6 linked regions of the Callithrix jacchus genome follow. The protein of the gene in region 1 purifies or fractionates together with the protein of each later gene. This does not show direct contact. Links are inferred from orthologs where the notes say so. Each region holds a gene or a part of one and is shown in the gene's direction. Other genes may lie near its edges.

Region 1 (3,500 bases):
GCTGCCCCCTGGCTATTTCCCGGCGGGGCGGTACGTGGTGGTGGCTGAGAGCCCCCTGCCGCCTGGCGAGTGGGAGCCCTTCCGCGCAGCCCTGGGCCCTGCCTACGAGGAGGACGGCGCTCCCCTGCGCTACCAGCGGCTGGTGCCCTCCCGCAGCCGCATCGTGCGGACGCCTTCCCTGAAGGACAGCCCGGCAGGCCGGGGACTCAGCAAGGCTGCTGTGTCCGAGGAGCTCAAGTGGTGGCACGAGCGCGCACGCCTCCGGAGCACCCGCCCCCACTCACTGGACCGACAAGGGGCTTTCCGCGTCAGGAGCCTGCCCCTGGGGAGAGAGGGCTTCGGGCGAGCCCTGGGACCCCGGACACAGGTATGGCTGCTCTGGAGGGACCCTGGGGCCAGGCAGGAGGGCTGTCTTGCTGGGGAGGGGCCTCAATTCTAGCAAGTCCAAGGGCAGGGAGGTAACGAAGCAGCAACCCAGTGGCCGGGTAATCCCCAGCTAGGAAGAACAGGCCAAAAAATCATTTCCTCTTGGCTTCCCCGGGGCACCTCCTAATTTTGCCGGCCATGTGTAGCTCAAGAGTAAATACACTGGCGGAGATGATCCCCGAAGATACTGAGACTTCTTCCCTCCCTAAATGATGATCCACAAAGCAGACAGGCCTCTTCATAATAAAAAATCCAATCCAAATCAGCCCCTTAAATGTCCATTTGAAGGTCTAGGACAAAGGGAGAGTAGGAAATGTGTTGCAGAGGCCAGACCCTGTGCAACAGCATCCTCCCCGACACCCCTCCTCAGCACCAAGCCGAGAAGAACGGTGGCATCAAAGTTAAGAGCACCGACCCTCGGTGGGGCGCGGTGGCTCACATCTGTAATCCCAGCACTTTGGGAGGCTGAGGCGGGCAGATTGCCTGTGGTCATGAGTTCAAGACCAGCCTGCCCAACATGGGGAAACACCATCTCTACTTATAATACAAAAAAATTAGCCGGGCGTGGTGGCAGGCGCCTGTAATCCCAGCTACTCAGGAGGCTGAGGCAGGAGAATCCCTTGAACCCGGGAGGTGAAGGTTGCAGTGAGCCAAGCTCACACCACTGAACTCTAGCCTGGGCAACAAGGCCAGTTTTTTTGAAACTGTCTCAAAAAAAAAAAAAAAAAGAACACCGACCCTCAAGCTAGACCACTGGATTCAAATCCCAGTTCTGCCACTTACGAACTGTATGACTGGGCAAGTTACTTAACCCCTCTGGACTTACTCTTTCCTCCCCTGTGAAATGGAAGTAGTAGAGTACCTGTCTCACAGGGCTGCCAAGAGGCAGAAATGATTAGAGCAATGCATGGCAAGCACTAGATATGTGACATTATTATCATCTAGGGCTGCAGAGGCCAGGGAGCAGGCTGGGGGGCAGTATAAAGGATAGAGCACTCTGATACTGGGTAGGGTGGCAGCCTTGGTTTCCTTGGCCCCTATTTCTTCATTCTGGAAGTGGGGAATCACACACAGGAATCCTTTCTTCATTCTTTCTCCCTGGTACGGAGGGCTCTGCAGGGGACGTGCTCCAGAAGTTACCAACAAGCTGCTTCTTTTAGACCCCAGGTTCCCAGCAGGCCCAGCTGCGTGTCCCTCCCCCACCCACGGTACTCTGGGCTGCAGCTGGCATCCTGGGCCTGGCAACACCCTGGCCCCAGTCCCAGGCCTCGCCCTCTAGCTGACGTGCTTTTTCCTTCATGCACGCTTGGGCCTGTCCTTGGCTGGATAGACCCAGCCCATCCCAACCTGCCAGACAGGGTGATGAGAAGTGAGTGCAGGAAATGTGGGGAGGAGGAGGTCAGGGCGCCTGTCACACCCCAAAGGAACCTGGAGGAAAATGTGTAAAGGGGGATCCCTGAAGGACAGAGCCTCCTGGGGAGGAAGGGGCTGAGTGCCAGGGCCTGCTGCTGCTGCTGGTCAGTGTCCCTAAGGGATAAGGATGGTGTAGCTGTGCCTACTGTCCCCGCTTTTCTGCCTGGTTCGTTTACCCACCTCTCCTTCCCGACCCTGGCAGGTGCCCACAGTGTGTGTGCTGCGGAGATCGCCTGACGGGGCCCCTGTGCAAGTCTTTGTACCTGAGAAAGGAGAGATCATCAGCCAGGTGTAACTCTGTGCCCCATGCTGGAAAAGACTTTCACGGAGGGGGTGGGCTGAGACCCCCCACCCCTGAGTGCCTCTTTCAGCTCTCCCACCCCCATCGCAGGCCGATGACCTGGAGCTGAGACTTTTTATTTTGTTTTTTTTACACGACTTTTTTCAGAAGCCCTGACCTAAGGATTTATATATGTGATCATCCTGAAGATCCCCGTGATATGATTATGCTTTACCCTCCAGAGTTTGGCCTACTGGACTTAAGGTCTTGCCTGTCTGACTGACAGCATCTGTCTCCTTAGGCAAGACAAGTGGCAGGGGACACGTGAAGCAGAGTGGGCCACCTTGGGAGTTCTCCAAAGCTCTGTGTTCTGGTCCTAAGAACTTCCCTGGAGAACTGCCCCGGCCCTCCTGTCCCACTACTGCTGGAGGCTGGATACGGTACATACTCATGCACATGACTCTCCCCCATGTCCCAGGTCTGTGAGTGCCTGGGCCTGGGCTGGGGGAGAATCCCTTTCCCCTTTCTAATGTGCTCTGTGATGCACACCAAGTGCGAGGTCAAAGATCAGTATATCCTGGTGGTGTATTGTCTTGGTAGACCGTGCTATTTTCCTGACCCCATAAATCCTCTTTAGGGACCCAGTCACTATGCCCTGTCTATGCCCTGTGGGTCCCCAGACTTCTGAGCTTTGAGTCGGTGGCATCACAGATTGTAGCCTCAGGGGGTCCAGCTGGGGACTGGCCCATACTGGTGGTTAGTGGACAGCAGCCATCCTTTGACAGCCACCTCTGGGCGTCTCAAGGGCTTGCAGCCCCACTCACTGCTCCCTCTAACATTTTGTTTGTTTTTGAGATGGAGTATCACTCTGTGGCCCAGGCTGGAGTGCAGTGGCAAGATTTTGGCTCACTGGAACCTCTGCCTCTGGGGTTCAAGAGATCCTCCTGTCTCAGCTTTCTGAGTAACTGGGATTACAGTCACGTGCCACCAGGCCCGGCTAATTTTTGTGTTTTTAGTAGAGATGGGGTTTTGTCATTTTGGCCAGGCTGATCTCAAACTCTTCACCTCAAAGGATCCACCCACCTCCGCTTCTCGAAGTGCTAAGATTACAGGTGTGGGCCACTGCACCTGGCCCTTCTAACATTTTTTCATCATAGTCCTAAACACCAATTCTTTACAAGTGGTTTTGGAAAGGCACCACTTTTGTGGCATGTTGGGGAAGGGGGTCACAGTTCCCACTCCCCCCTCAGCTGTGGTTCTGCTCTGAGAAGGTACTTATTTATACAAACATGGGCATACTCCCTCCCAAGCACTGACGAGATGCTGAATCTTCTTTGAGGGCATTCATTCATTATCCCAGCTGCAGCAACGGGAGCAAGTC
Region 2 (4,068 bases), on another chromosome or scaffold:
AACGGAAGGATCCTTTGGTTCAATGGACAGCTTATAAATATAAAACAGTTGCTGGAAAATTATATTAGAGATGAACTATCTCCTCCATTACAATGTTTGCTTTTCTGTAATGCAATTTAGTTCCAGCAGAAAGGCTTGGGAGAGGCCACAAGCAATGCTTCAGGAGTTACTGGAAGCAAGATATGGGGAATGAGAGAAGAGATCCATCGATGTGGAGCAGGGGCCAGCCGAGGCCTTGTGCCCAGGAGGCTTGCGCTGAGGACCCTTGCTTTGCCCAAGGGAAATTGAATTCAGAGCTCCTTCTGCATCATAAATTCAGGGCAGCTGGCAGCTCTCCAAGGGATACTGGCGCTAAACTCCAAGGGCATCTGCCGCCAGATTGGCCAACCCCTACAATGCCCTTTGAGGGCTGAGCCCCAGGTGTGTTGGATTGGGATGCCGATCCAGCCTCACGACAGCATTCATTTAGAAGCTCTGCATTTTGTTAATTTAAAAATGCACTCACCGTCAGGGAAGGAGAGCCTCTATTATATATGAGACAGCTGAAAGGCTGGAATTATTCTGACATGCCTATCTTAGGAAGGAGAAGGCCTGACCTTTTTCTTCCTTTTTTTTTTTTTTTTTTTTTTTTTTTTTTTTTTTGAGACAGTCTCACTCTATCACCCAGGCTGGAGTGCAGTGGTGCAATAACTCACTGCAGCCTCGACCTGCTGGGCTCAAGTGACCTGACCTCCCACCTCAGCCTCCCCAGTAGCTGGAACTACAGTCACGCGCCACCATGCACGGGTAATTAAATATGTTTTTTGTAGAGACAGGGTCTCCCTATGTTACAGGAGCTGGTCTCGAACTTCTGGTCTCCAGCAATCCTTCCATTTCAACCTCTCAAAGTACTGGAATACAGGTGTGAGCCACCGAGCCTGGCCAGGTCTGACTTCTGAATGCGTTCGTTTTTTGATCTTTTACCCCGAGTGCAAGTGCAAGTTACACTCCTGACCACTGGGTTTTGCAAAATGTGGTTTCCAGTGTCCGAGGCCCCACGCCCGTCCGCAGGCTACTGAAAGGCTGAGGGCTAGGAAGCTTCGCTCCGCGCGCTTCAGGTCCGCCGGCGCCCTAGGGGCCGGGTCTACAGCAGCAGAAGCCGCCGGGCCGGGCCGGTTCCCGAGGGCGGGGCCGTGCGGCCTCACGCCCCGCCCACCCCCGGGGGGGGGGCGCCCTGGGTCGGTCACGTGACGGCACGCCGACCAGCGAGGCCCCGCCCCGCGGGAGGAGGCCCCGCTGCGACCCGGGCTGCGCGCTGAGGAGCCGCCCGGTCGCCCGCACGCTACCTCTGGCTGCGTCCCCCGCCCGCGGCCCCTCTGCCGTCCGCCCGGGGCTTGCCGGCTGCGGGAGTGGCCTCAAGATGGATGAAGACGGCGGCGGCGAGGGCGGTGAGTGTCGGAGGTGTGGCGGGCTGGCCGGCGGCCTGGGGCCGGGGGCTGGGGGTCGCGGGCGCGGCGCCGGCCCGGCGTCCGCCTGAGGAGACTGGGACTGGGGCGGCGGCGGCGCCTGCTGGAGGCCTGAGGCGCGCCGGGCCGGGGCCGAGACGGGGACTTCGGGGGCCCGAGGGAAGCGGCTGGCCGGGGTCGCCGTCCAGCGCTGGCGAGGGTCCCGGTACCAGGCCGGGGCCACCGCGGGCCGGGGTCGCCCCAGAGTCTCGGGCGGAGGTTCGGGGGTCGCTCCTATGGGGCGGGGGACCTTGTGGGGCGACCTTCCCCGCATCTTGTCGCCAAGGGCGTCCACGCCCTCCGGAGCCAGGCGTTTCGGACGCCCCCTTTGAGCTCAGGTGGGCGGAAGCGGCTGAGCCGGTGGGGAACCGGGAGGGGAAAGTTTGGCATGGGGGGCTCCTCTGGGGTACAGGAGGGGAGGGCAGGGGGAGCGGTTGGAAAGCGTGACAGGCTGCTTGGCTTGGGTCAGAAACGGTCGCCGGATTTGCTCGAACGGGGAGGGGTCTAGCTGGAGTCCAGGTGGGGGTAGGCGTTTTAGGAAACGGCAGACGCGACAGAGTGAGCAAAAAAACTCGATGGAGCGGAGGGTGGGGGTCAGGAGCTGCACCCAGCACCGAGGCGAGACCGGAGAGCCAGATGTGCTCCCAAGTGGGTCGGGTCGGTGCCCGACGTGCCCCAGGTGGTCTGTGCCTGACATTCGGTTTCCTCTTACTGGAGGAATCGTGTTTGTTGGAAATTATTTCGTGGAATACAAATGACTGTTGGGTCATGCTGCGAATTAGATTTTAAAAACAGAAGAACGTGCCTGTCTGTATGGAGTGGCTGTTCGCTTTGGAAAGCAAAGGGTTAATGCCTATGTTTTTACAGGAACAGACGAAGTTGAGGTTCTCTAGACTTTTTTCATTTTTGGCTTTTTTTGAGCTAAAGATCTCCTTTGAGCTGACAGAAATCAGAATCATCAGAACCTCATGTAATAAGGGAGCAGTTTAGAGAAATCTTAATTACAGGCTGCCGCAGCAGCTGCCTGTAAGAATCAGCAGTATTGAATGCTTCAGGATGAAGTGGTTCATCATCAAGGTGCCTTCTAGAATTCAAGTGCTGCTTAGAGGGAGATTCTTTTTGCTGAAAGACGCGATGCAGCCAGGATGGTGGGAAGTTGGCACCCGTCATGGCATTTGGCGAGTTCAGTTCTCATAGTTGAAGCTAGGGGTAGCACTGTGGCATCGAGTGGGTGTGTTTATGAAAAGGGAGCGTTGCGGAACGAAGGAGCCCAGTTGCAAACCCTCCTACAGTCAGGTTGTCCGTCTGGAGCCACGAGATCCTAAGGAATGGATTCCCGGTGGAGGTCGTGTTTCCTGCCTGTCATAATTTGGGCAGAGCAGTTTTCTCTTGTTAGAAAAGAAGGACAAACAACTGTAATATGCAGACGTTTGGCATTAGAGTCAGGGCAGCTCGCTGGCTTGGCAGTTTGTTTTGTACTTTGGGCTCTGAGAAAAGAAATGTAGACTTGAAGATAAAAGCAGGGATAAAGAGGAAAAAAAGGAAGCTTTAGTGTGCTCCAGCAATTTGCAGATCTTGAATAGTATAACAAAGGATGATATTAAGTATCAAAAGTCTTAAAACTGTCCTTGGGCTGTTATTATTATCACAGGGAAGCAACCTTAAAATAAAAAAAAACCTCATGTATAAAGATGGTGTATTATGCTGTTTGTAATAGCAAAACATTGAAAACAGCAATACCAACCGTAGGGGCATGGTGAAGTAAATTATGGAAAGTTTATTCAAGTATTTTACAACCATTAAAATAAGCGGTTTTATACATCATGGGTTAAACAATGTAAAAACTGGTGACATTATGGATTATTTTATTTTTTTCAAGTTTTCCAAGTTTCTGGAATAAGCATGTATTTCAAATTTGAAAAAACTTATAAAAGACATCAATGTTTTAAGTGTATTATTTAATTCACCTCACCAGAACATTCAACAATGAAGATTTATTTATTGATTGCCCAGTAAAATGCCAGCCAGCATGTTAGGTGCTGGAAAATAACTTTTAACTTTTATCGATTTAGTTTATAAATAGCTTTCTCCCTTGCTTTGTGACAGACACTTAAAAATATTTTTGGTAGACTGGGTGCGGTGGCTCACTCCTGTAATCCCAGTACTTTGTGAGGTCGAAGAGGGCAGATCACCTGAGGTTGGGAGTTTGAGACCAGTGTGACCTACATGGTGAACCCCGTCTTTACTAAAAATACAAAATTAGCTGGGCGTGGTGGCGTATGCCTGCAATTCCAGCTATTCAGGAGGCTGAGGCAGAAGAATTGCTTAAACTGGGGAAGCAGAGGTTGTGGCAAGCCAAAATCGTGCCAACGGTTGAGTTTTGAGCGAAACTCCGTCTCAAAAAGAAAAAAAAGAAAAAATACACACACACACACACACACACACACACACACACACCGTATATATTTAGCAGTCTTAGGATAAGTATTTATTTTATTTTATTTTGAGACAGTCTTGTTTTGTCTCCAGGCTGGAGTGCAGTGGCGTGATCTCCGCTCACTGCAACCTCCGCCTCCCGGTTCAA
Region 3 (3,500 bases), on another chromosome or scaffold:
CACAGTACTAAGACTTGGCCGTGGGTTGGCTGGATATCAGGGGACTGTGAAGCTGCCATCAGACGTGTGCTGGAAGTGTATGCAGTGCTGTGGTCTCTGCAGATGAGATGGGACTAGTTGGCAGGTGCAGCTCTATTCGGGACAGGAGTTTAGGTGCCTTTGGAAATTCAGGTGTCTCTGAAGACTGTACTGTCTGGCAGTGAAGGGATGGACAGAGGCAAGGGTCCTTAATGGCCTGTACCGTAGCTGCTGTCCCAGGCATCAGGGGTACAGGGCAGGGCAGGGCCGCTAGGGTAAGACTAGGAAAGGTTTCCTGGAGTTGCTGCCCCAGAACTGAGGCTCGAGAGATGAGTAGGAGAGCCAGGAAAAGGGGAGAGGGAAAGGCCCTTCTAGAGGAAGGAGGCTGCACACTTGCTGCTTGAGGACCGGCCCTGGGTCATTGCAAGGCACACTCTTGAGGTACCTGTTGAATCTCCTGGGCTCTACTTACAGAGGACCTGCAGTTCTTTTGGCAACCCTCAGGCATTCTTGATGCTGTTCTTATTTTGGAACGTAAGGAGTGGTCCCTCAGGCCGATTTGTGAACATCATGTCCTGGGAGAAGGCAGGAGAGTTAGGATGAGTTGCCGGGGAGGAATCTGACCATGTGTGTGTCCTTAAACCTCCTCTTTTCCACTGTTCTGTAGGATAAGGAGCCCCGTGGAATCATCCCTTTAGAGAATCTGAGTATCCGGGAGGTGGAGGACTCCAAAAAACCAGTGAGTATTTTTGAGGGGAGAAAGGGGATGGGTGTTTCAAAGATTTTTTTTAAAAACCTGAAACCAAAGCACTGAAAAGTGTGATCAGGCCTTTTATTTAGTCTAATTTTTTATTGTATTGTTCAAGCCGAAGATGAGACTAAATCACTTCTTTCTGTGCTGTCCATCTGGTTTATAGTTTCACTTAGTGAATATCACATGGGGTGTAGAAGTTGCTCCTCCTCAGATGGCGACAGCAAACACTCATGGGTGGGCTATTTATTTTATGACCTTGGGACACCTTGTATTTATTTTTCCTTTGTTTTGGACCATCACGATGTTACTGGCTTGACTTTAAAAAGTCTTCAGTAACCTGTGGTTCTCTCCATATTTTACATGCATTAGAAGTGGAGCCATCTTATATCAGGTTGGTATGTTTGCTAACAAGACTTATTTCTATGCAATTTACAGTCTCCAGAATTCTACTTCTAAGCTTCACTTTTCCTTAGGAAAATACATCTTGCTTGTATTTTGTGAAGGTCAGAATAAAGAGGCTTTGGGGAAAGAAATCAGCGTGTTTCTCAGTCAGCAGCATCCTTTGCTTCAGTCTCTCCTCTCTGTTTTGATTCTCAGAACTGCTTTGAGCTTTATATCCCAGACAATAAAGACCAAGTCATCAAGGCCTGCAAGACCGAGGCTGACGGGCGGGTCGTGGAGGGGAACCACACTGTTTACCGGATCTCAGCTCCGACGCCCGAGGAGAAGGAGGAGTGGATGAAGTGCATTAAGTAAGTGACTTCAGAGAAGGGAGGTGAGCGTGCCTGACGGGCCCTCGCTCACCAGGTGTTCATCGTCTCAGTGGCCAAACACGCCGCCCGCCCCTCTTCTGTGCTCCGAGTGTAGGGAATTTTGGTCCTGGTTCCCAGATGACTTCCCGGGAGGCCTTTGGATTTTTGTCTATTACAGCCTATGTAAAAGAGCACGTCCCATCTGGGTTCCCCAGGTGTCCTCATAGACCCCAAATGGGAAGAGGTGAGTGAGCTGCAGGTACAGATGCCATTGCTGAACTGGCCTTTCCATGTCTGAGGAAGCTGTTCTCGTTATAGTAACAGCTCTGTGGTGACAGTAGTTATGTTTTATCATTTGGGAATGCTATGAGACACCATTTTCCTAGCTACAGATGAGGAAACTGAGGCCCACAGAGGTCAAGACATTCGCTGGAAGTCACATAGCATGATCCAAGGTCCAGGAGGAGGGAAAAGCCTCCTCAGAGTTCCACAGCTAAGAAGTGGAGCTCCGAGTCCAGTGCTCTGACTCCTCACTCTCAGCTCTGCTCCGGCCATGTCAGGTTTCTCATGGGGCTAGAGACTTCTGATGGGAAAAGTGTCTGGAAACACAGCTTTCTGAAGCCAACTGGCTTCTTTTGCTTCATGTTCTTCCCTGGGCCTTCGTCCGCCTGGTCCTGCTTCCGGTCCTGTATGAGGATCAAGACTGAGCATCTGCCTTTGCCTTCTCTCTGTGAGGCTTGCTCCTGAGAGCACAGCCTTGTCCTCCCTCCTAGGTGCTTCATCCATGAGAGTTTACCCAGCTATTTTCCTGAGAAAGGCTCCTCAGCTGCCTGTGACTTCACTTGGGAAACAGGGAGGATGTTTTCCAGGTGACTGCCAAGGCCCCTGTAAGTCCCCTGTATACTGTGTGACGGGCTTTCTCCCACCCAGGCTACAGCCCCCTTCCTCAGAGAGTCCGATACACTCTGGCCTTTGTTTTAGCTTTTGGTATTTCTACTCAAACCGGGGTAGGTTTTGGCCAAGGTTAAATATTTAATAAATGATTGAAGATGGAGATGATGTGGTGATGGAAGGAAAAGATAGATGATTTATCCCTTCAAAAGTAAATCTGAAAATTCATGCAATGAAAAGAGATGGGAGCCAGGCGGGGAGAGGATGGATTTGGATGGATTTGGCGCTGGCTCACACTGTGCTGAGTCCTTGCTCTGTCCCTCTGAGCGTGGTGCCTGGTAGGCAGGTAACCTATCTCTTCTGTCTGATAGAGGTCATTTCTGACTCGTGGGCTCTTGTGAGGATTAAATGAGATCATGTGGTGGGCACAGGCCTCAGCAGCTTCCCTGGCATGACAGCCATCATGGGAAGTGTGGCCCTGAGCAGGGGCCAGCCCACTCTCCATGAGCAGACACAGTGCCACTGTGTTTTCAGAGTCCCCTGCTAGTAATGGCATCAGCCCTGCATTCTGGGGAAGAAAACAGCAGTGTTGTGGGGGACCTGCATCCTTTTTTTAACATCCTGAAAAAGAATTTAACTCTTGAATCATTATAAAACGTGGCTTTTATATAAGATTTGAAGTAAGGGTTGTACAGGATTTTACCTTTGTTCTCACAAATTAATAGCTGATGGTCCTGACGCCATTTATGAATTAATCCGTGTTGCTCCTGCCGATGACACGGCCTCCTTCGTTTGTACCCACCTCCTCCATCACGTGGCAAAGCACCTGCTGTTCCGCCATGTCTCCCAGTGTGAGCGCCACCCAGCCTCTGCCCTGGAGCCGCATGCATGCTCTGACTGTGCTGGCTGGTTGGCTTCCTGGCCCCCCCTCACTGGTCTTTCACAAAAGTTTTGGCTGGTTTTGTACATGTGTCTTTCATGTGGTTTTTATTTCTATAGTTGGAAAAACTAAGCATTTTTCAAAGTTACACTTAGAATCATTCAATCCTTTAGTGAGAGTGAGTGCCGAGTTCTCCTGTGTGGGG
Region 4 (4,268 bases), about 15 Mb from region 1:
ATTAATTGCATGCAAATAGCCTAGAACAATTAAATGGGGGCTGTAGTGATTTAAATAATTAGTGTCCCCAACACACACACACACACACTGATCCTACAAATCACATTCAATCCACTACGCCATACTTTAAATGTGTAAAAACTGTGAATCTGACTTTTACTGGATTAAACAGCAAAGTATGGAAACTGGGCAAAAGTGACATAGAGCCATCCAAGAGTTTCTGCCGTCGCTGGTTGAGAAACATGCCCAAGTTAAGATCAAGGAGTTGGTTCAGGTAACTACGGGAATCTAAGGAAACAACGTTGCTTAACTGTAGAAACAAACTCAAACTATTTCATCCTCCTCAAAAGATCACAGCAACACCCATCTCGCTCCTCTGTAGCCTAGCTGGGGCAGAACGCAGGTGTTAGGAAACGCACCTGGTCTGCTCCCGCCCTCTAGGCCCCGGGCACCTCGGGGCTAGGAACAGAGGTTTGGAGCAACTCACCCCGGAGACTCCGTTGATACTGCCCCAGAATCTCCTCCAGGGTAGAGTTCTCCGGGGACTTCGCCATGCACACTCTAGGCCCAGAGCTGGGAGTTACGGGGGGAAATGTCCAGCTTTCTCGCTTCCGAGAACAACAGGCCCGTGGCCGGGGAGCGCCCGCCCCCTTCCTGCCGCGGCTGTCACAGGGGAGCCTAGAATCCCGCACGGAGCTCTTGGGGGCTATTCCCACCCACTGGCCCTCCCGGTGGACGTCGGGAGTTGTAGTCCTCAGGTGCAGAGCCTGCAAGCTTGACAATTCTGAGAGCCTTCCAGCTACACTACAATTCCCAGAGACCACCGCGCCACAGGCTCTAGCTTGGACGGTTTGGCGGCCACAGCCTGTTGCCAAGAGACAGGTTTCCAGGCCCCGCCCTTTTTCCTGCAGCCCAGCCTGGTTTAGTCCCGCCTCCATCCCATCCTTCAGCTGCCTGGACCACCCAAATGTCAGAAAGGGCTCACTGAAGGCCTTGACGCTTGGAAATTTGCTAACATGCAGCAGTTGATCCCTAAGTCTACTCTAGGACTCAGATAGTAAGCTCTGAACCCTGCTTCAGTTGCGATATTTTTCAAAATGGTCGAATAAATCCTCAAGAAATAGAAACTCTAAAATCTTCCAAACAGCCTAGATTGTAAAGGCGGCCGACACTACAACTCCTAGCATGCCCAGCAACCGGACCTCCACTTGGAGTTGGCGCTCTGCCCACTGGGAACTGTAGTCCTCGTTGGTTGCGGTCCCACCTAAAGCCAAGGTCCTCTTCATTGTTTAAGCTGGTCTCTTGGGGCACGCCTGCGCAGTGGCCAAGCTGGAAAAGCGAGTGGGTGAGACCCTCGCACAACCCCTTTTCATTGTCTGTGTCTGGCGCCTGCGCAGTAAGGGATCGCTGGAACTGGGCAGGAGGAGGGGATCGGGTCCGGCTCCTCGCCATTTCCCGAGGCGCCTGCGCACTAGGCAGCCGCTCTTTGCCGTTACCGCTATGTGTGGGGCGTGTGTGGAATAACGTTATTGCCCGGCGGAGCTGAGGGCCCCGGAGCTCGACCGCAGCGGCAGCGACAGCGACGACAACAGCGGCGACGACGACGACGAGGTCGGGGGAGGACGGCGTGCGAGAGACTCACGGGACGCGACGCGCCCCGCCTCCCCCGTCCGGTCCCTCTCTCCACGGTGAGGGGTAAGTGATGCGATCGGCTGCTCGGTGTGGGCGCCGCTGCCTCCGCGGCTGCTTTTCCACATCCTGCTTCTCTGGTTTGCGGCGAGGACTCGGGCGCGGCCCGCCACGGGGCGGGGGTGCGGGGCTGCGGGGCTGGACCGCGAAGGGGGCGCTTCCCGGATGCTCCGCGCGGCGCCGCCACCCCCACCCTCTCCCGGCCCGGGACCGGGGGGCTTGACAGGGCCACTCCTCCCATCCCCCACCCGCCGCCCCCGGGAGCTCCAGTCCTGCGGGCCCCCGGCTTTCCCGAGCCCTTGCCCGCCGCCTCGGCGTCTCCTCAGTGCGTTGAATCATTTTCAGCTTTCGCCTGGCTTTGTGCAGCCCTCCCCCCTCCGCCGTAGCAGTTTGCTAGGGGTGCGGGCGGAGCATTGGAGGGAATGGCTGCGCGGCCGCTGGGGAAGGGATTTCTCCCCGATTGGAGCAGCTCCCGGGGCCGATCCCTTTTGTGTGGCTGGTTTTGGGGTGTGAGGCGGTTGGCGAGGTCAGGCGAGGAGCCTTTCGGACGCGTCGGGAGGGCGTGGAAGACGCGGTGTCATGCACCGTGCCAGGCGACTGCACCCCGCGGAGGCTCTGGCCCCGTAGTAAACCTGGGGGAGGAGAGAGTGGCTTCCTGTCGGCTTCATTGTCCTAGGATTCAAATATAGGGTCTGGGTACGGTTCGCTTCCATTTTATGCAAGCGAGAAAAAAAATAACATTTGCAGCTGCCTAACACAGGGCGGGAAGACGTGGAGATTGGATTCGAAGTCACAGAATCTCTGTTCAGTGGTGTTTCGTAGAGTTTTATTTTATTTCATTTTTTTGAGGAATGCAAGGAAGACAGACTATGTCTGCTGGAGTCCAAGTACTGCCAAGGTGATCAATATAAAATTACTAGATGACGTTGGAGCCTGGGCTAGAAAGGGCCTGACAACGAAGCTGTTGTGTCAGGGAAATGAACCAGCAGAATTGTTTTCTCATTGGGCGGGTAATGCATTTATGTTCCTGAGGGAATAGACACATCTTGCTGTTTTATTTTTTAAGCAAGTAAAACAAACGAAACAACTGGCCCCGTATAAATCTGTTTCCAAAGTTAACTCATTTTTATTCTCTTAATGGAAATTCAGACATTGAGGAGGAATTTGGCGAAGTGGATGATACATTTGATTGAAAATGCATCCTTTAAAATGATTTCCTCCTTAAGCTTACAAATGCATATGGCCGTTTGCTGGCGTTGCTACTTGAAACACACCAGAAGAGAAAATAAAGCAGGATGGGGAGGAGCAGGTGGAGGAATAATGTGAGGTGAGAGAGTTACATTGTGACTATAGTATCTGGATCTTCACTGGTATATCCCGAGCTGAATATGCTTCAGAGACTTAGGAATTCAGCCCTGGAAACAGTGCATTGATGAATAGCAAGTTATGTATTTTTCTGTCATTATTTTTAAAAAGTAAAACTAGGGTTGCCTTTAGTTCTTCCTAACTTTGGAGATAACACAGAAGAGCCTAAGCGCACTTGACAGAGGAAAACACTCAAACACGGAAAGTTAACTGACTTGTCTGCCCAAGCCAAACTGCTCCTGTAAGGCAGAGCCAAATGAAACTGAAGGTCCATTCCACTGAAGAGTGATCTTTCCTGTGTCCCCCTGGCCCTTTGACCTGCGAAAATGTAGAGAAAGCTTCCCTACGTGCTCCTTGAGTATGCTGTGACTGCCCATGAACTTGATTCTCACCGTTGTATTTATCTAGTTCTTGCCTTTGTCATGTAAAAGTAGGAATTCTCCTGAAATGGACCTTTAGTTTTATAAAGTAACTTACTAAATGAGGAAAGATGTCCTAACATGTGCTTTTAACAAACCGTTGCAGTGTTTTCCTTACTACTTAATAGTAGCTGTATTTTAATATTATTTCTTGAAATTCATTAGTATTCTATAGTAGTATGATGATCAACTCTATAGACAGTGTTGAAAATAAAATTTCTGCATAACAAGAACCTATAATGTTTATTTTGTTACAATTAATGAGCTGTGATCATTAACGGATTTTTAGTGATTACTTTCAACTTAGAATTTAACTTTTAAGATGTATTAACTTTATGTTTCTTATTGGGTTGATTTTACCATAAAGTGCTTTTTATCTTGCCTTATAATTTTAATCGTTTCATCTTACATTGCATTTTAATAGACCTTTTTAAAGGATATATTGTTTATATTAAATTTCAGCTTTAAACATCTGTAACTAAATTTCAGTGTGTGGAATTATATGCAATCATGCTTTAAACGTATTTTATTGGTAAATTTCATTGTGTTCTGAGATTATTTTGTATGTAAATAATCTGCCTGTTCCCTATTTTAACATGAGATAGTGAATTTTTTTTTTTACTATAAACTTTAGCATACGTTCTGCATATTAATCCTATTATGGTACTTTTTAAAATTCTGTGCTTCGTGATTTGTTTGATTTGTTCTAAGTATGAATTTCTTGCTCTTTTTTATCTGCTGAAAAAAGAACTTGTTTTATTGTTGTATCTGGTTGCAGTCAGATAATGCTTATCT
Region 5 (4,050 bases), on another chromosome or scaffold:
TGCCCAGCTAATTTTTGTATTTTTAGTGAAGACAGGGTTTCACCATATTGGCCAGGCTGGTCTCCAACTCCTGGCCTTGTGACCTACCCGCTTCGGCCTCCCAAAGTGCTGGCATTACAGGCGTGAGCCGCAGCTGGGTTACGGCTGATATTTAACAATCAGGAGAAAGAGCTCCTGAGATCTTTACAAATTCAAAAATTGTGAAATCCCTCAAAGCATAACTTTCCTAAAATGCAGTAAGTCGAACTGAGGCTGGGTGGATGGACATGTTATTCACTGACCTAGAGCACACAGAAAGAAATGCCAAGTGTGATGGAAGAAAACGACGAATTAATTTTCGGGTTAATATAGTTCCAGTGCTAAGCCTGAGATTCTCTAATAAACAGAAAAATACTGACGGGGCTGAGTCCAGTGGCTCACGGCTGTAATCCCAGCACTTTGGGAGGCTGAGGCAGGAGAATCACTTGACCCCAGGAACTAAAGAACAGCCTAGGCAACATAGCAAGACCCCCATCTCTACAAAATTTTTTTTTAATTAGCAGAATGTGCTGGTGTGAGCTTGTAGTCCTAGCGGCTCAAGAGCCCTGGTGGCACCATTGCACTCCAACCTGGACAACAGAGCAAGACCCTGTCTCAAAGAGAAAAAAAGAAAAAAGCATGCTGATGTCCAGGCACTGTGCTAGGTCCTAAGAATACACAGGTGAACAAAAGATGATCCCAATCTCATAGGACTTGCAAGTCCATCAAATAATCAACAAACAAATATATAATTACGGACATTTGAAGCGTTAAGAAATTGTATGATACTATGATGGCCTTCGATAAATACCATTGAGGCTACACGTCCATTGCACTTCCATATCCTTAATACTTTTCTAAGAAGACTCCCTAAAATTTCAATTTCTTAGCGATCTACTTGTTTTTAATTTTTTAACAACAGACTTTATTTTTTAGGGCAGTTTTAGGTTCGCAGCAAAATTGAGCAGAAAGTGCAGTTTCCATATTACCATATTTCCTGCGCCCACCCTCCTCCAGCAAGCAACAATCTGCTCGCTTTCAAGCTGTTGTTGTTTTATTTTTTGCATTTTGTTTAAAACAGAGTCTGGAAGAATGGAAGAAAACGCTGAAAACGCACCCGCACTCTGGTTGGTTGAAAGGGTTCCGCCAGGAGCCGGAGAGGTATGGCAAGTAAAAACTACATTTCCCAAGGGGCAGCGCGTCACGTCACAGAGGAACGACCGCGCATGCGTAGAGGGGCCTCGCGCGACTACGCTCATACAAGGAAAAAAAAGCGTGTACGGTTCTCGACGTGCCGCCAATCTTCGAACGGAGGTCCGTGACCATCGCAGACTCCGAAAAAGCGTTCGACGAATGCGCCTGTTCCCCACGTCGGTTTCCAGCCCGACGAGCTTGTTTTGTCCGAGACTGGGTAGGTGGGGACGGGCTGTGGCCTAAGCCCTCCGGCAAAGCGCGGGAGCCAAGGGCTGAGTCCTCCCTTTGAGCAGTGGTTCCCGGCCTCCCTGAGGCGGCGCTCGAGGGGCGGTGCGCTAGCGCTGCGGATGGGAGGGGCGGGGCTCGGGGAGGGCGGGCCCTGTGCCCGGCCTCTCGAGGTCTGCGCGTGCGCGCTTCCATCCCGGATGATGGGAAACTGCGGCACGCCGGGCTTGACAGGGACGCGGCCCCCCAGGTGGCATACTCGGCCCAGGGTCACGAAGATGCGGACAGAGGCTGGGCCCCGAACTCCAGCACTTATTATTTGCACAAAAGAATCTTTTTTTGTTTTTTTAAAGATACACAGCTTGTCATTTGCTCAGGCTGGTCTCTAACTCGTGGACTCAGCATCCCGCCTCGCCCTCCCAAAGTGTGGGGAGTATAGGCGTGAGTCCCCGCGCCCGGACAAAAATGCCCGTCTTAACAGCAAAACAACCTCCTTCACTCTCCCTATTCTCTAGTTACCTTCTCAGCTCGGGTTTGCAGCCAGAGACCTCAGCCTATCTTCCCTAGTGCCTCCTCCAAGTCTTGAACCCTTGAGCCTATAGTCAGGCTTTGGTCTCCACCACTTCACTAAAACAGTTCCTTGTCGCCAGGAGCGGTGGCTCACGCCTGTAATCCCAGCACTTTGGGAGGCCGAGGTGGGTGGATTACCTGTCAGGAGTTTGAGTCCAGCCTGGCAAACCCCCATTTCTACTAAAAATACAGAAATTAGCCTGGCATGGTGGTGTGTGCCTATAATCCCAGCTACTTGGGAGGCTGAGGCACGAGAATCGCTTGAACCCGAGAGGTGGAGGTTGCAGTGAGCTGAGATGGTGCCACAGTTGCACTCCAGCCTGGGTGACAGTGAGACTCCGTTTCAAAAAAAAAAAAAAACAAAAACAAAAAACATAAACAGCTCTTTATCAGAGCCATCGGTGATCTCTAGGTGGCCAAATTCATTGTTAAGTTAGGTCTCAGTCTTGTAGCAGCATTTGATGCTGTTGATCACTGCCTCTTCTTGAAATGCTGTCTTCATTTGGCTTGCTGAACATTCTCTTCCTTTGCCTCTGGCCTGCTGATTCTTCCCTAGGCATTATCAATCTCTTTTTTTTTTTTTTTTCTTCGAGACAGGTTCTCTGTTGCTCAGACTGGAGAGCAGTGGTGCTGTCACAGCTCACTGCAGCCTCTTGCAGCCTCAAACGTCTGGGTTTAAGCAGTCCTAACCAAAGCCTCCCCAAATGCTGGAATTACAGGCGCAAGCCACCACAGCCGGCCCCAGTTTCACATTTTAAATGTAAATACCGGCCAGGCGCGGTGGCACATGCCTGTAATCCTAGCAATTTGGGAGGCTGAGGTGGGCAGATTGCCTGAGGTCAGGGGTTTGAGACCAGCCCGGTCAACGTGGTAAAATCCAGTCTCTTCTAAAAATACAGTAACAGCAAAAATTAGCCAGGCATGTGGTGTGTGCCTGTAATCCCAGGTACTTGAGAGGCTGAGGCACAGGAATCGCTTGAACTCAGGAGGTGGAGGCTACAGTGAGCCAAAATTGTGCCACTGCACCCCAACCTGGGTGACAAAGCAAGACCCTGTCTCAAAAGAGTCCTAGAGGTGGAAGAAAATCCATGTATAAGTGGACCTGCACAATTAAACCTATATTGTTCAAGGGTCAACTGTGTAGATGTATTGAACTGTATAGATGTATAGATGTATTGAGATTTATTGTGATGGATTGGGTCATACAATTATAGAGGCTGAAAAGTCCCAAGATTTGCCATCTGCAAGCTGGAAGCCCAGTAAAGCAAACCCTCTGGAACTCACAGACACACTCAGAAGTGTTACCACCAGCTATCTGGGCATCCTCTAGCCGAATCAGGTTGCACATAAAGTTAACCATCACATTTCCCTAACGTTTTTCAGTTGCCCCAATCATCATTTTACTGGTGATACTTTGACAAGTGTTATAATAATAGCTAATGGTGGATTGGCAGTTTACAAGAGACCAGAAGCTTCCACTTCCATGATCTTTTACTATTGAATATGGTGAATTTGTAACAAAACTTGGAATTCAGGGGAGGAGCATGGGTTTTAGAATTTGTAGCCTTGTAGCCCCAGCTCAACTATTTTTCCTGAGTTCCCTGCATAACCTATCTGAACTGCAGTTTTCCCACTCTACTTACCATTCTGATATCTATTTGTTTTTTTGTTTTTTGTTTTTTTTTTAACACTGCTCCTTCTGTACTGATAGGATTGCTGTAAGGTTTAAATGAGAAACACTGGCATAAGTTGCAATACAGAGGCATGGAGAAAAAAAATCGTCATCTTAATGTCTCTTTAACTAATTGATGAATATAGATTCTATTTATTTTTGAGATGGAGTCTTGCTCTGTCGCCCAGGCTGGAGTGCAATGGCACGATCTCGGCTCACTGCAATCTCCGCCTCCTGGGTTCAAACAATTCTCCTGCCTCAGCCTCCTGAGTAGCTGGGATTACAAGCATGCATCACCATGCTTGGCTAATTTTTGTATTTTTAGTAGAGATGGGGTTTCACCATGTTGGCCAGGCTGGTCTGGAACTCCT
Region 6 (4,300 bases), on another chromosome or scaffold:
CTCACACCTGTAATCCCAGCACTTTGGGAGGTCAAGGCGGGCGGATCACAAGGTCAGGAGTTCAAGATCAGCCTGACCCACACGGTGAAACCCCGACTCTATTAAAAAAAAAAAACCGAAAATTAGCCAGGAGTGGTGGCGTGTGCCTGTAGTCCCAGCTACTCGGGAGGCTGAGGCAGGAGAATCTCTTGAACCCGGGAGGCAGAGGTCGCAGTGAGCCGAGATCGCGCCACTGCCTGGGTGACAGAGCAGGGCTCCACTTCAAAAAAAAAAAAGAATAAATCTTTCGTTTCACCACTCCATGACTCTGAAGAGGCTAAGGGGAATGGGGAGGGCATAGATGATGGTAAGGAGTTTGAAGATTAGAAGGGACTGAGAGGAGAGGAAAGTACCCGGAGAAGAAATGCAAAAGAGGCTCAAAGCTGCTCCCCGTTGCATGGCAACCTCTGCGGTCAGAAGCCAGCATGGGCTGCTAGGAGGTGTGGCTTTCAAAAACAAGCCACAGTTGTAGCCCCGCCCCCTGGCAACAAGACTAACAAAGTACCTCCCCCTAGCAACGCACCGCTGGAGGCGGGGTTCGGTTGACCTAGTCTCCCAGTGTCCAAGGCCTTTGAGCAGGCGCCGTCATGTCTGCTCCACATAGCTCCGCCTCCACGCAACACTTTTCCGAGGCTTCTCATTGGAGAGCAAGCCTGTCAAGGGCCATCTGTTGTTTCAGAGGCGGGGCCTGCTGCCCTGCCTGCACTCCGATTGGTCCCGCGGGCCGTCTACCTCCGGCCAGACATACCTATATCAGCTTTTTGTGCGACTCTTGGCCCTGGAGGACGATCCTTTGGTGTCGAGGGCGGGGAGGACGAAAGCGCCCACTGTGGATTGGACGGTGTCAAAAAGAGGGGCGGTCCCTACTGAAGGGGCGGTTGGAAGACGAAGGGAGGGTCTTTTCAGCGCTGAGGACTGGCGCTGAGGAGGCGGCGGTGGCTCCCGGGGCGTTTGAGCGGGCTCACCAGAGCCCGCGGGCCAACGCGGATCCAGGCCCGACTGGCGGGACCGCCCCGGACTCCCCGCGGGCCTTCCTAGCCGCCATGGAGGACGGCGTCTATGGTAGGTCGTGGAGGGGCGGGGTCGGATGGGAGCTGCTAGAGCGTTTTCTCCTGAACGTTCCGCCGCGAACGTTTCTTCCTGGTGCGTGCCGCCCAGAGGCGTTGGGTCCCGCCGTAGCCTCGTCGCGCCGCTTTTGTGGGGCGCTGGACGGGCTTCCGGCTGGAACCGAGAGCGGGGTGTTCCAGGCCATTGTTTGGGCTGAGCCTGTTTCCGGTGGCGGCGGGAGGGGCGGGATGGAGCGGTGGAGGCGCGGCCGAGGCGGAACCATTCCAGCTGGAGGGGCGGGCGAGCCCGGCGCCTGCCGGGGAGGGGCACTCGGGTTGCCGGGAGGGGAGAAATCTTGGGGGGCGGGGGCCGTCGATGTCCCGCCCCACCTTCCCAACTCTGTCGAGCTGTCATCAGTTCCCTTGGCTGTAGTGACTTTTCATGGACCCAGGAGTCCGGACAGCCAGGTCCTCAGCTACCACCTCTCCAGGAATGGAGTCAGAAAACCAAAGCCTCAGTCCCCTTCCAAGTAATGGACCTAGAAATTCCGGCTCCCAGCCCTTTCTTCCCTCAGACCTAAGAGCTCAAGCACCCATTCCCCTTCTCCCTCAGACTCAGGAATCCGGGCCCCAAGTCCACTCCTTCCCCAGGACTCGAGAGTTTGGAATCCAGGCCCCCAGTCCATTCTTCGGTCCAGACATAGGAAGCCCCTTATGCGTCCTTTCCGAGCTCTCTCCACCCCCAGACTGCGGGAATCCCGGCTCACAGCCCCCAGCACTGACTTTGAAACCTTGACCCTGACCCCCAGAACCCCCAGACCTGACTCCGGAGGAGCGGATGGAGCTGGAGAACATCCGGCGGCGGAAGCAGGAGCTGCTGGTGGAGATTCAGCGCCTGCGGGAGGAGCTCAGCGAAGCCATGAGCGAGGTGGAGGGGCTAGAGGCCAATGAGGGCAGGTGAGGGCTGGGGTGGACGACCTGGGGGGCGTGGGGTTGGCCGAGGCCAGGGATGTCCAGGCGTTGACCTTCCGCCCCCTACCCTGCTCTCTGCTCCTGCAGTAAGACCTTGCAGCGGAACCGGAAGATGGCAATGGGCAGGAAGAAGTTCAACATGGACCCCAAGAAGGTGCTTGGGGCCACAGGACTGGGATCAGCTGGGCAGACGTCCAGGCAGGAACTTCTGGCACCTCCGGGTTCCAGAAGCATGGCTCCGGGTCTGTTCTAGGTGGACAGACTTGGTCCTAATCCCTGGATTCAGAGACTGGCTGTCCGTTTGGAACACACAAAGTGTTCCAGCCCTCCTGACACTCTAGTTGCGTCCCCTGCCGGGAGGGTTCTCTTTCACTGTCTACTTGTATGGGTGCACTTCTTCTAGTCTCAGGATGAGCTCCGAGTCTTGTAGGGGCTGTGGACAAAGGGGCGTGCACAAACGAGAGTTGACTGCCATGACAGAGGTATCGGGAGGGGGCAGGCTGGTAGAGTCAGGGAGGGCTTCTTTGAGGAGGAGACATTCAGGTCAGGTTTGAAGGATGAATAGGTGTTCACCAGGTTCAGGAAAGTGTTTTGTTCACTTTTTTTTTTTACATTATCTTGCTCTTTCACCCAGGCTGGAGTGCAGTGATGCGATCTTGGCTCACTGCAACCTCTGCCTCCTGGGTTCAAGCAATCCTCCTGCCTCAGCCTTTCGAGTAGCTGGGCTTACAGGCTCTCGCCACCATGCCCAGCTAAGTTTTCTATTTTTAGTAGAGAAGGGGTTTCATCATATTGGGCAGGCTGGTTTCAAACTCCTGAACTTACATGATCCGCCTGCCTCAGCCTCCCAAAGTGCTGGGATTAGAGGCGTGAGCTACCATGCCCAGCCTGTTCACATACTCATTTAACACCCATTTTCCGAGGCCTCTTGAGAGTCTGATCCTGTATAGGATGATGCTAGAGACCAAAAGAAGAATCAGATGCTGCCCTGCACTCCCTGAACACCAGTAGCACAATTCAGAGTGAGATACGGCAGTAACAGAGAGGTCTTCATAGCACAGAGACTCAGAGAAGCCTCAGCCTAGCCTGGGCTCTTGAGTTCACAGCCCTGGAGAGACTGCTAACAGGTTGTCACGTTATTGTTTCCTGAAGCAACTGGAACCCTTTTCAGTCATTCAGTAACTGTTTATTGGCTGGTTTAGTTGGCTTACGCCTGTAATCCCAGTGCTTCGAGATGCCGAGGCGGGAGGATTGCTTGAAGCAGGAATTTGAGACCAGCCTGGGCAGCATAGTGATAACTCATTTCTAGAAAAGATGTAAATAAGTAAATCAATTATCCAAGTGTGTTGGTTCATGCCCATAGTTCCAGCTTCTCAGGAGGCTGAAGTGAGAGGATCCCTTGAGCCCAGCAGTTCAAAGCTGCAGTAAGCTGTGATCACGCCACTGCACTTCAGTCTGCAACAGAGCAAGACCAGGTCTCAAAAAAAAAAAAAAAAAAAAGCCGGACGTGGTGGCTCACACCTGTAATCCCAGCACTTTGGGAGGCCAAGGCAGGTGGATCACAAGGTCAAGAGATCGAGACCATCTTGACTAGCATGGTGAAACCTCATCGCTACTGAAAAACAAAAAAATTAGCCAGGTGTGGTGGTGCGTGCCTGTAGTCCCAGCTACTCAGGAGGCTGAGGCAGGAGAATTGCTTGAAACCGGAAAACGGAATCGCAGTGAGCTGCGATGACACCGTTGCACTCCAGCCTGGAGATAGGATGAGACTGTCAAAAAAAAAAAAAAAGAAAGAAAATGTAGTGAGCCCCTGTTCCTAGCCAGACCCTGTTGTTGATGCTGCAGTTAACCAGGCAAAGGCAGAAAGGGTGGGCCATGAGTTGCAAAGGCTCTAAGTCAGGAAGAATGCTGTTTAAGGACCTGTGAGAAGGCTGAAAATGAAGCTGGCCCTGGTCTGTTGAGGGTGGGGGTAGGTATGGATGCTGAGATTCCCCGGGAGGTGAGGGGAGTGGCTTTCTGGCCCTCAGCACTGAGACCTTGTTGTCCCCACCACCAGGGCATCCAGTTTTTGGTGGAGAACGAACTTCTGCAGAACACACCCGAGGAGATCGCCCGCTTCCTATACAAGGGCGAGGGGCTGAACAAGACCGCCATCGGGGACTACCTGGGGGAGAGGTATGGCCACCACTCAGCTCCCGTGGGGTTTCTCACCCGCCCCCCCATGCCCAGCTCCTGCCCTTACA

What was found.
Region 2: the proteins of INAVA (region 1) and CYTH3 purify together in Homo sapiens (co-immunoprecipitation; 3 studies listed by BioGRID and IntAct, counting the BioPlex papers as one, with this or other methods). This does not show direct contact. The link is inferred for Callithrix jacchus from reciprocal best matches to the Homo sapiens genes INAVA and CYTH3.
Region 3: the proteins of INAVA (region 1) and CYTH1 purify together in Homo sapiens (co-immunoprecipitation; 3 studies listed by BioGRID and IntAct, counting the BioPlex papers as one, with this or other methods). This does not show direct contact. The link is inferred for Callithrix jacchus from reciprocal best matches to the Homo sapiens genes INAVA and CYTH1.
Region 4: the proteins of INAVA (region 1) and CEP170 purify together in Homo sapiens (co-immunoprecipitation; 3 studies listed by BioGRID and IntAct, counting the BioPlex papers as one, with this or other methods). This does not show direct contact. The link is inferred for Callithrix jacchus from reciprocal best matches to the Homo sapiens genes INAVA and CEP170.
Region 5: the proteins of INAVA (region 1) and SGF29 purify together in Homo sapiens (co-immunoprecipitation; 3 studies listed by BioGRID and IntAct, counting the BioPlex papers as one, with this or other methods). This does not show direct contact. The link is inferred for Callithrix jacchus from reciprocal best matches to the Homo sapiens genes INAVA and SGF29.
Region 6: the proteins of INAVA (region 1) and CYTH2 purify together in Homo sapiens (co-immunoprecipitation; 3 studies listed by BioGRID and IntAct, counting the BioPlex papers as one, with this or other methods). This does not show direct contact. The link is inferred for Callithrix jacchus from reciprocal best matches to the Homo sapiens genes INAVA and CYTH2.

Annotation. Positions count from the first base shown.
Region 1 is NC_133520.1:27,929,877-27,933,376, forward strand, and holds part of INAVA (innate immunity activator protein), read left to right. Parts: coding exon 1-367; intron 368-2,041; coding exon 2,042-2,134; 3' UTR 2,135-3,500. UniProt on the Homo sapiens protein: Expressed in peripheral macrophages and intestinal myeloid-derived cells, is required for optimal PRR (pattern recognition receptor)-induced signaling, cytokine secretion, and bacterial clearance.
Region 2 is NC_133503.1:15,993,758-15,997,825, reverse strand, and holds the start of CYTH3 (cytohesin-3), read left to right. Parts: upstream 1-1,268; 5' UTR 1,269-1,399; coding exon 1,400-1,427; intron 1,428-4,068. UniProt on the Homo sapiens protein: Promotes guanine-nucleotide exchange on ARF1 and ARF6. Promotes the activation of ARF factors through replacement of GDP with GTP. Plays a role in the epithelial polarization.
Region 3 is NC_133506.1:134,443,572-134,447,071, reverse strand, and holds part of CYTH1 (cytohesin-1), read left to right. Parts: intron 1-685; coding exon 686-757; intron 758-1,369; coding exon 1,370-1,524; intron 1,525-3,500. UniProt on the Homo sapiens protein: Promotes guanine-nucleotide exchange on ARF1, ARF5 and ARF6. Promotes the activation of ARF factors through replacement of GDP with GTP.
Region 4 is NC_133520.1:42,879,484-42,883,751, forward strand, and holds the start of CEP170 (centrosomal protein of 170 kDa), read left to right. Parts: upstream 1-1,468; 5' UTR 1,469-1,695; intron 1,696-4,268. Other genes in the region: SDCCAG8 (serologically defined colon cancer antigen 8), read right to left, coding at 1,203-1,286.
Region 5 is NC_133513.1:29,281,225-29,285,274, forward strand, and holds the start of SGF29 (SAGA-associated factor 29), read left to right. Parts: upstream 1-1,250; 5' UTR 1,251-1,429; intron 1,430-4,050. UniProt on the Homo sapiens protein: Chromatin reader component of some histone acetyltransferase (HAT) SAGA-type complexes like the TFTC-HAT, ATAC or STAGA complexes.
Region 6 is NC_133523.1:42,350,223-42,354,522, forward strand, and holds the start of CYTH2 (cytohesin-2), read left to right. Parts: upstream 1-1,500; 5' UTR 1,501-1,527; coding exon 1,528-1,615; intron 1,616-1,894; coding exon 1,895-2,042; intron 2,043-2,144; coding exon 2,145-2,211; intron 2,212-4,113; coding exon 4,114-4,232; intron 4,233-4,300. Other genes in the region: uncharacterized protein LOC128930433, read right to left, coding at 793-1,500. UniProt on the Homo sapiens protein: Acts as a guanine-nucleotide exchange factor (GEF). Promotes guanine-nucleotide exchange on ARF1, ARF3 and ARF6. Activates ARF factors through replacement of GDP with GTP.